2 linked regions of the Arabidopsis thaliana genome follow. The protein of the gene in region 2 interacts with the protein of the main gene of each other region in a pairwise test. Each region holds a gene or a part of one and is shown on either strand. Other genes may lie near its edges.

Evidence for each region.
Region 1: the proteins of GRF4 (region 2) and BIM3 interact in a two-hybrid assay, tested with the Arabidopsis thaliana proteins (one large-scale study listed by BioGRID).

What each region holds. Positions count from the first base shown.
Region 1 is NC_003076.8:15,557,150-15,561,791, reverse strand, and holds BIM3 (BES1-interacting Myc-like protein 3), read right to left. Parts: upstream 2,892-4,642; 5' UTR 2,710-2,891; coding exon 2,555-2,709; intron 2,457-2,554; coding exon 2,381-2,456; intron 2,302-2,380; coding exon 2,206-2,301; intron 2,062-2,205; coding exon 1,724-2,061; intron 1,236-1,723; coding exon 1,106-1,235; intron 983-1,105; coding exon 881-982; 3' UTR 666-880; downstream 1-665. Other genes in the region: AT5G38850 (Disease resistance protein (TIR-NBS-LRR class)), read right to left, coding at 3,362-4,489, 4,581-4,642.
Region 2 is NC_003074.8:19,615,180-19,620,412, forward strand, and holds GRF4 (growth-regulating factor 4), read right to left. Parts: upstream 3,329-5,233; 5' UTR 3,090-3,328; coding exon 2,858-3,089; intron 2,761-2,857; coding exon 2,566-2,760; intron 2,269-2,565; coding exon 1,971-2,268; intron 1,416-1,970; coding exon 998-1,415; 3' UTR 798-997; downstream 1-797. Other genes in the region: AT3G52905 (Polynucleotidyl transferase, ribonuclease H-like superfamily protein), read right to left, coding at 1-19, 144-292. UniProt on the Arabidopsis thaliana protein: Transcription activator that plays a role in the regulation of cell expansion in leaf and cotyledons tissues.

The sequences.
Region 1 (4,642 bases), on a different chromosome or scaffold from region 2:
TCCCTCCAATATTTCATCAGCCTCCTCCAGCTCCAGCTTCTCCTCCTCCGTCGTTCTTCCCTCCAAACCCATTTCAGCCTCATCCTCCTCAGCCTCCTCCCACTCCTCCTCCATCGATATTCCCTCCAAACCCATTTCAGCCTCGTCCTCCTCTTCCCACTCCTCCTCCACCATGGTCTCTCTTTCCTCCACTGCCACCGATCTTTCCAGGCCTAAATCCACCACCACCACCTCCTCCTCCTCCTCCTCCACCTCCGTCGATCTTTCCATTTCCTCCATTCCCATTCCTACCACCACCAAACAAACCTGGCCCTCCTCCTGCTTCATCTCCTTCAGCAAACAAACAGCCTCCTTAATCGAACAAGAGTATCATAATATATACATATATATACCAAACATTTAGTCGAGAGATGAACTATCTGTTGTATAGACAGTCATATTTACATAAGGTTAAAGAATAAAGATGAGTTTTCAACTTCTACAGAATATTGCATCTGTTCTTGAATCTAAAGATCTAGATACTCTAGCTCAAATCAAGCTTGAGACACAAGAAAACAAGGACTCCTTTCTGCAAATCAAACGCATTACTTGATACAGACATGTCAACAAGCACGAAATAATTTCCCGGTTAATAGTGTGAGAAATAGAAGGGCAAGAAGTGATATATCTAAGAGACCATATACTTAAAGTACCATTAAATGGAGCAAACTCTTGTTATAGATTTGCGAAACTTGTTACATCATTCTACTTAGTTTTTACTATATCATTTAAAATAGTTGCAGCACGATAAAAGTAGTATCTACACCTACTGATCCTGACTCACCGAAAGTAACAAAATTATCAAACAGTTGTCATAACATAGAAAATAGAAAACCAGATCTTATCGTCTTATTCTCTTCTGGGAATGATCAATATCATTGCAGAAGCTTCTAGTTTCAGTAGGAGAGTCCCCTTCTTCATCAGCGATGCTATTACCATTATCCTAATGAAAAAGATACATAGCATCAAAATACAAATTAAAATACATAGAAATGTTTTTATAAGAATTACTTGCAGAGTAGTAGACTTCTTTTTCTTTTCCACTGTAAAAATGTTACAGGCATACCTCAGAAGCAAACGCAGCAACAGAATACTCGCGATCTTCTCTTTTCCGAAGGCTTAACTGCACAGATATCATGGTCTCTGACATGTTAACACCCGATGACTTAAGTGCTTCAGTTAGAGTGTTAAGTACCCTGTTCACAATCAAACCAAACAAGAGTTTTCAATCAAATCTCTCCATCTTTATTTCCTCCAGTTATCCGTTTTTAGAACCCTGAGTCTGTTCCAAATACAGAAGCAGATAGGATCTTCAGTTTGAATGACTACCTATTTAGGAGAGAGAAGCACTATTCAAAAGAGAAACTTTGGATTATGGTTATGCAAAATCTTTTCCTCTAACAATTACCAAGTTTACAGCATTTATCTCATACTCTATCCTACAGAACTTCATAGCCAAGGCAAACAAGAAGTCTCCGCAAATAGCTGAGGCATCATTGGAACCTTGTATTATATCATTCTCTCTTAGTATCCAAAAAAGGTAAGCCACTGTTTAAGGAGAGCCAGACAGGAAGGAAATGAGTGTACATCCGTGAGAAACTATATACCAACCCAAACTTTCTACCAAAAAAATGAATTAATTACTGAACAAAAAAAGCTTTATTTTGCTCTACATATGTCTTACCTTTGTGAGCAGACAGTGGACAAGCTGGCTGATGTTTTTTCGTCAGATGTTAACAATTCATTTGTAAAACAGTTAATTGTTCCACAACTTGTTTTTGGTTGCCAAAAGTCATGCTGAACAAACTGCAGCGAAGGCTCGGTACGTAGATACGATGAAACTGCTGAAACAGGACTGTGTTCAGGAATCTTGGTGCTAACTGCTGAGTCAATATCAGGATTTACTGAATTGTACGTATCCAAGAGAAAACCCGAAGAAGCAGCAACTTTATCATTACTTGAAAAGCTTTTAACGATTTGAGGATGGTCATTTTCCTCCGCAACAGACCCATGACTATTTCTCTGCATCAAAGTTACATGAAACAGTTGTCAAAAATACCAAGAAAGATGAAACACTTAACACAATAACCATGTTTCTCTAAAAAAATGTAACAAAAACGATTCAATATAACAGAAAACCAACCAAAGATAGGAGAAGGAATATACCCAAGGAATCAATTTGGTTGGGGATTGATACCACATTTGGTGAGAATCTTCATACATGTGAACTTTTTCTTGAAGAAAGTGAATATACTCTATAACCTGAGACAACATATAAAAGCAAACATCATTCTGATTCTCTGAAACACATGTTCTGTTCAAAACTATAAATTTTACTAACCTCCAACAAGAAAGAAGCTTTATCTCGTTTCTGATCATTCTGATTCTGAGGTATAATATCCATTAAACTCTGAAATCTGTATCCACCAACCAACAATCACAAATTACGAAACTTTCTTGTTACCCTTTTTAGAAAATCTGATAAAAATTCAAACTTTGAACACTTATTATTTACCTTTCATTGATTTTGCTTCTTCTTCGTTGCTCAGTCTCTGAGTGTTTCGATCTACACGAGTTTCGATTTCTCCTCCCTGTTGAAGAATCATTTCGAGAAGGCAAGTTACTGTATACATCTGCTTCTAACTGATCATCGATATCATGAGAGTTCATAGTTCGATGAAGTACGACGAACTCGACCCCGGAGATGGCGCAGTGACCGAAACTCCGGCGAGTGAGACAGAGACTGTGATTGATTTTTGTGTAGGTGTGTTCGTCGAGAAGGTGAAAAGAAAAGGAAGATAAAATCGAAAATTACATAGATAATGTGAAAGGCTCAAAAGCCCATTTAAAACGGATAGTTTCAGGCCCAAATTAATTCACTGTTGTTGCTACTATCAATTTTGTCAGTTTTCACGATCCGTACACTGCATTTCAGTAATATTTGCTGCATCCGAATTCAAACAGTATGATGCTACTACTCATCATATCCAACTCAGTGAAGCAGCCAAACAAGTCATTGTAAAGTATAAACAGATATTCTTTCCTCACTTGCAAATTCGTTCGACTTCTCCACTTTGATATTCTCCTTCTTGCTTCTCTCATCTTCCTCCCCAAACTAAACTTCCGATGCTTCTCACAATATGGGAGACATCAAAACAGATGATGAGCCAACTCCAACAATCTGTGTATTTGTTGGCTTCGATCTTGTCTTCGTTCGAAGTACAGATTAGGCTATCATTATGTCCATTATTTTTAGAGCATTCCAATGCTTCCACGGGTCCAAACTCATAGCTCCAATCGTTTTCATCTTCACAAACTTGGTCTATTTCATATTCATTTCTCCTTTCACTGATTTCACCTGTTCATCTGTATAGAATCTGACACCACACTCAATAATCTCATAGGTGTCGGATATGTTGCTGAATTCAAACAGTATCTCGTTGCCTACTTCATGACATTTTTCCTTGTTATGCAAGTCAGAGTGAAACATAACTAGATGTTCTGCTCGAGGTTTGGGGATAATATAAATAGGTGTTTCGTCATCGGAGCAACCGATTTTGCCAATGCGAGGACAAAATAAGGGAGAATTGCTAGTTTCTTCAGCATCATGGTTAGGGGAAATCACGAGGAAAACCTTAAATCCAAAGAATGCAGAAAAAGGAGTCTTGCCCTCGAGACGAACGGTGATGGAATGTCCGGTAGATCGGTGGTATAAGTCAGTGGGCAACTCTCTTCCAGGTAAGGATGCCCACCCATGAGAAAATGATTGTTGAATAATTCCTCTGCGTGCTTCTTGGTTTAGTTTGAAGCAGTTGGTGAAGCTGAGTTCCATGTATGAAGTATTAAAAGGGCAAGATACGCTCTCAAGTGATTCACACTCGTTTGCTGATAAGTACAAGAGCGAACCAGGAAGCTCTGGCAATGATGCGAGTTTTCTGCAGCCACCTAGAAATAAAATTTGCAGCCCATGAACATTTTTGATGTCATCTGGAATCTTCTCAATTCTAGTCTCGCTGAGGTCTAGATATGTTAGGTTTAGGGGCACATGTGTTACTATCTTGAGGTTTCTACTTTTGTATATTTCGAGAGTACGTAGGCGAGACCACATCGTCATTGATTCAGGTAGTTCTTCCACATCAGTGTATGATATGTCGAGTGAACTGATGTTTGTAGAAATATCTGGAAAGCTTTTTAATCTTGAGCATCCATACATGTTGACCAATTCAAGAGACTTCAAGTTGATATGAGGTGGAACTTCTTTTAGCCTTCTGCATCCCATCATATTCAAATACTTTAGCTTATGCAGATAAGAAAAGGAGGAAGGAAGCTCTACTAAATTCTGGCAAGCTCTCAGATCCAATTCTTCGAGATTTGTAGCATTTGACAGATCCGGAAGTTTCTTTAAATACCATGAACTTGACAAAGACATCTTCTTGAGATTTGCAAGGGGCTGAATGTAAACCAGATGTTAGAGTAGAAACATCAGAATAGAGAGAAAATATGTATAACATCATTAAAGATATGAATTTATGATAACTAACCTGAGTTCCATCCCATAGCTTCTCGAGCAGGCTACCTTCCATATCAAGTTCGACAAGATATT
Region 2 (5,233 bases):
TTTCTTTCTGAGCAAAACACTGCAAGAGAAGTAACAGGTTTTCAATAGCGATGATGGTGACAAAATTGATCAGAGAGGATTTGCATTTTTGAAAATTACTGTTAAACAAATGTTGTAGCATGTAGACACTGAATCAAAGGTACCTCAATGGAGAAGCAACCATATTTGAAGGATCTGAGATAGCTAATCCAACATACTTATCACCAACATCTAAACCCAGAAACCGACCAGGGACTGACACTTTGGTCTTCAGCGCATTACCCAATAAGCTCAATGGCTTCACATACTTCATTTCCTGATCAAAAGTAAGTGAATCAAACTTCCAAAACACTTGTTCAAATCAAGACTAAAAATTCACATATCAATTGCATAAATTTGAGAATTATTGTACAAAAAAAACTTTAATCAGACCATCAAACAAACATTTCGAAAAAGGGTTTTAGAAATTAATCAGAAAGTTTAAATCTTGACGTACTTTAAAGGCGGAAACTTTCTGGCTCCGGAGCACGGAATCTGGCGAGAGGAAACGACAAATGGTTCTGCTAAATGTCTTCGCGATTGAAGCAAGCAAGCACAAACCCCAAGATTGTGAATTAGAGATGGACCGGAAAAGGTTTATTCCGGTTAAGTTCGAGACTTCACCGTCTAATCAATCTATACGATGCCGGTGATTATCAGGGTTTTGGTTTTACATTATACCGGGAACCGGTTAATTCGAGGTGGTTTAACTGGTTTCCCAAAATTGATTCGGTTTAGCTTAAGTGAAAAGCTCAAGTAACCACCTCTCCTGTACTTACTTGCAGGCAGAGGATCATATTAGTTTCATTGCTTATACAAAATTGTCAAGCTTTAAACATAAATATAATAGCAGAGTAAGGAACAAAACAATTCCAAAAGCAGAACTCACAATTCCAAAAGAAGACAAATTCAAAGATTATTTTCTGCAGAAAATAAAGATTCAAAGAGCACAAACCAAAAAGATTACAAACACTTTTCTTTAATGAAAAACTTGAGTAGAGATTCCCATCTGATGAAGAACACTTGACGTCGAAGAAGCTGACCTCAAAGCCTCAGCTAATGGTCCTCCCATATTGTTGTGGTGATTCCCTCCATTGCTCCACCAATTCATTTGCTCCCTCTCATTGTTGTTATTTCTCATGTTCTCTTCTTCTTCTTCATTGCCTGTGGAAAGTTTTAGAGAAACATCTGAGGACGTGTTGTTACCGGGCATGGAGATTGAAAGATGACAAGTGGATGAGCTCATTGGACTGGAGGTAGAGTCTGATGATCGTGGCCAATCGTCAAAGAAATGCCTCAAGATGTGACCATCGTCTGATCTTCCATTGCTGAATCCACTGTTAGCTTCATATGGCCTCTTGTTGTTGTTGCTTTCTTGTTTCATCTCTGAAGAACAACTGTGACAGAGAGGAATAAACATAAACATAAACATTGTCAACAAAAAGATCCAACATTTGAACAATAATAAGTAGACTGATCAATTCAACAAAATGGTTAGAGAAATAATTTAATCAGTCAAATGTGTGTGTTAATAAGAGGAAGTGGTTGCAGAATCTGAGAGCTTTATTTTGTTTGGCTTCTATGCAGGTTTGGTCAGCTTTCACTGAGGTCCTACCATGTCATTATTTCAAATACAACATAAGTATACATATCTCTTTAACTTTCTCTCTCTTTTCTATTTCTATGATTGAAAAGTCTCACCCAACTAGTAAATAAAATTAGATTCTATCAAATCCAACTGTTATCATTATCTCTCAACAAAAGAAAGAATAATGTTTTTATCACAAAGTATGTATGATAAGTCTCTCTTGTCACCCTATTGCCAACATTACCCCTTTCTTCACAGCATTACTTCACAGTGAAATCACTATTTCCCTAACAACAATATTTGTAATTAACCAAATCTACTAATGACTTTAATTAAACAGAGTGTTTGTGTTTTTTTATTGTACCTTTGTTGATGACTAAGGTGGAGAGGTTGAGATGAACCAGAGGAGAAGAAGTGGTTGTTGTTTGGTCCATGACCAAGCTCCTCACCTAAGACAAAAGAAGATGCGGTTGTTGTGGCTGTCGTTGTGATGGTGGTTGTGGCGGTTTCCACAGGCTTTCTTGAACGGTTTCTTCCACGGTGAATGTGGCGGTCACAATACTTGTGGCCCGCTACAACATCCCTTGAACATCTCCATTTCTTGCCGTCAGTTCTCTTACACCTCCCTGGCTCAGGATCCATTGCTCCTCTTCCCCAATACCCTGTTTTTTATTAAGTGTGTGTTGTTCATTAGTAACAACAAACATAAATCTCACTCAAGACATTGGTTACGAAATGTACTTGTCTGATTCTATCTATGTTGCTAATAGATCTTCTAGAAATAGGCTTATCATACACATAGGGTTTTAACTCCTTGCAAGGTTGCAGAGCAGCCTTATACTTATTTTAGATCTTGGAAATATAACTCCAACACCAAAACAAAGGGAATCTTTTTTACAAAGAAAGACTATTTCAAGGATAAGAGAAGCATAAACAATAGAGAGGAGAGAGAGACTGACAAGAAGGTTGGTGATGAGGAAAACTATGTTGAAGAGGATGGTGAAGGAAATGCATAGGAGATTGATGGAGGAGACTTTTCTTAATAGGTAAGAGAAGCTCTTGAGGAACAGAAGCACCAGCCAACATGTATCTATAGATCAGTGCTTGTAGCTCAAGTTCTTGCCACTGTGCCCAGCTGAAGAAGTTTCCCATCTCTACATATATATGTAACATAGAAACGTCAGATTAAATATCAGCAAAAACAACTTCAACATTAGAGTGAATAAGTCTTGTCCTTTTAAAACAACTTACTGAGGAACCTGGAAGAAGAAGAAGAATTAGAAGAGTCAGGAGAGAAGCAAGAGAAAGAAGAGGAAGAAGTGGGTTCAGGGACAAAGAGAGGAAGAGGAGCCGCAGCAGCAGAAGTAGCAGTTTGGGACTGAATCTGATCAAAGAAAAAGTTTGATATCTTAGTTGCAGCAGAGCCTTGTTCTTCTGACTCATTCTGCTGCTGACTTCTCCATTGTTTCAGTTGCAAGTCCATGGAACAAAGAGAGAGTGAGTGAGAGAGAGAGAAAGAGAGACAGACAGAGAAATGTGTTGGTTGCTTTTGGGATAGTTTTTTTACCCTCACTTCTTTTGTTTTTAGAGAGTCTGGCTTAATAAGCAAAGACAACCACAACAAAAGTCTTATTTGTTTGGCTTGTCATGTAAATACCCAAAATAAAAAACTTTTTCTTCTTCACTCTTTTGTTAGAGAGAGCTAGAGAAAAGTGTTTAGACTATGAGACAAGACAGTTGATAGGATAAACAAAATTAGTATATAATATTTGATTGATAGGTTTAATAAATTGTTACTTTATGTGATATAAAAATTATGTAAGTCAGAAAACAAAGAGAGAAAGCACTGCAAGATGCAGATGGAGAGATAGTAACCTGCAGTGTTTATGTCTCACTGCCTTGGAAATATCACTTCCTTTTTTTACCTCATTTTAATATTCCTTAAGTAGGTTAAAGAGATGCCTATTATGATATTGTTATTATGTTTTTTTATTAAGGATTCATTTAATGTGATGTAGAGTAACCTTCAATTTTTGTCTTACAGATGTCATTTGTCTCAGAGATTGTGTTACAAATGTATGAGATTCTAACTTCTAAGCATGATTAATCATTTGGGTTTTGACTAAATAGTCTCCATTTGCAGAGAGCTACAATACAATCTCAGCTCTATTTACTCTCTTTGGTTAGTAAGTTTTCCAAATACTTTACCATTTTAGTGGTTTAACCATATTTGTCTTTTAATTTGTAACCGTCATTACTTTTCTCATCTGTTACAATATTATTGTTACTCATAAAATATTATGTAACGTCTGTGTTTGTTTGATTTATTAAAAAAAAATTATAACTTCCTTATATAAATGTAGAAATGGACATTTATCTTTGTGTTATCTTAAAAAGACATGGCTAGCTAGTAGTATATGTACATATCTAAACACATCGAAAGGAGGGAATCATATTATTACCAGAAAAGGCCAAGTAAACTTGGAAACATTTGTTAAAATGAAGTTAGAAACATTTATTTGATATCTTCACTTGGCTGAATAATACAAAAGACATTTATGATTTTCAAAGTATCTTTATTTGGTGGTGCCAAAACAAAAAACGATAGCATTATTTTGTAGTTTTGAGGAAATAAAGTAATAAATATGAGAAGGACGATAACGATATTTCATGTAGGAGTGAGCCACAACCAAAGACTATGATGACTATTGAGAGAGTTTCTTGAGTTTTCTTTTCATTCATTCCCACCAGTTTCGGCGGCATTTATATTTGCACTAAGAAAAATATAAGAAAAACTCAATTCCTTAAGTACAGTTCAATGTTATGTACACTTCATTTGCTGTAAATCTTGTGAACCAAATAAAAAAGAAGAGGAATATCATAACATAACACCCAAAATAAACTTTGTTTTCAAAATATACCATAGGTTCTTTTTGACTTTGTAAAATTTTCCTTTTTGAAAAACAAAAATCTTTGTAACAAGTATAAAGCGGCAACTGAATTTAATAAACATTTTACGTTTTTTTTTTTAGAATAGAAAAAATATTTCGCAAATGGCCTAAACAAAATATTAGCCTCTAAAATAGAAATATTTTTTGTTGATACTTGATAGTATAATGGATCTTGTGCACTAATGATGGGTCTTAACTAATAAAGTAATAATGGATCCTGTGCACTAATATTTTGGGCCAGAACTTGTCATATACCAAAGATAATGATATCGAAGGAAAACAAACTGAAAGCAAAGTGTGAACGTAATGACATATTGTATGTCTTTTTTCAATCATGAACACGAACAAAGATTACATGCAGATGCAGTAATACTAATGGTAACAAAACAACCAAACAAATGTTGATTATCTAGACTAACTTTATATATATCTTGTTTAAACTTTAACCTACATGGTTATTAGGTTATACATGGTAAATGCATTAGTTTAAATTACCATACTACATACATTTTTATATGTTGCTCATGTTCCAATTGTTTCGTAAAACCAAATAAAATGACAGAAAATATATAGTATTATTCAGTGGACAAGGGTTGGGTCACGTGCTAAGATTAAGACCAGATGAGATCAGAAGAGGGCCCGGCCCAAACTCTCCACCTACTCACATAGATTTGAA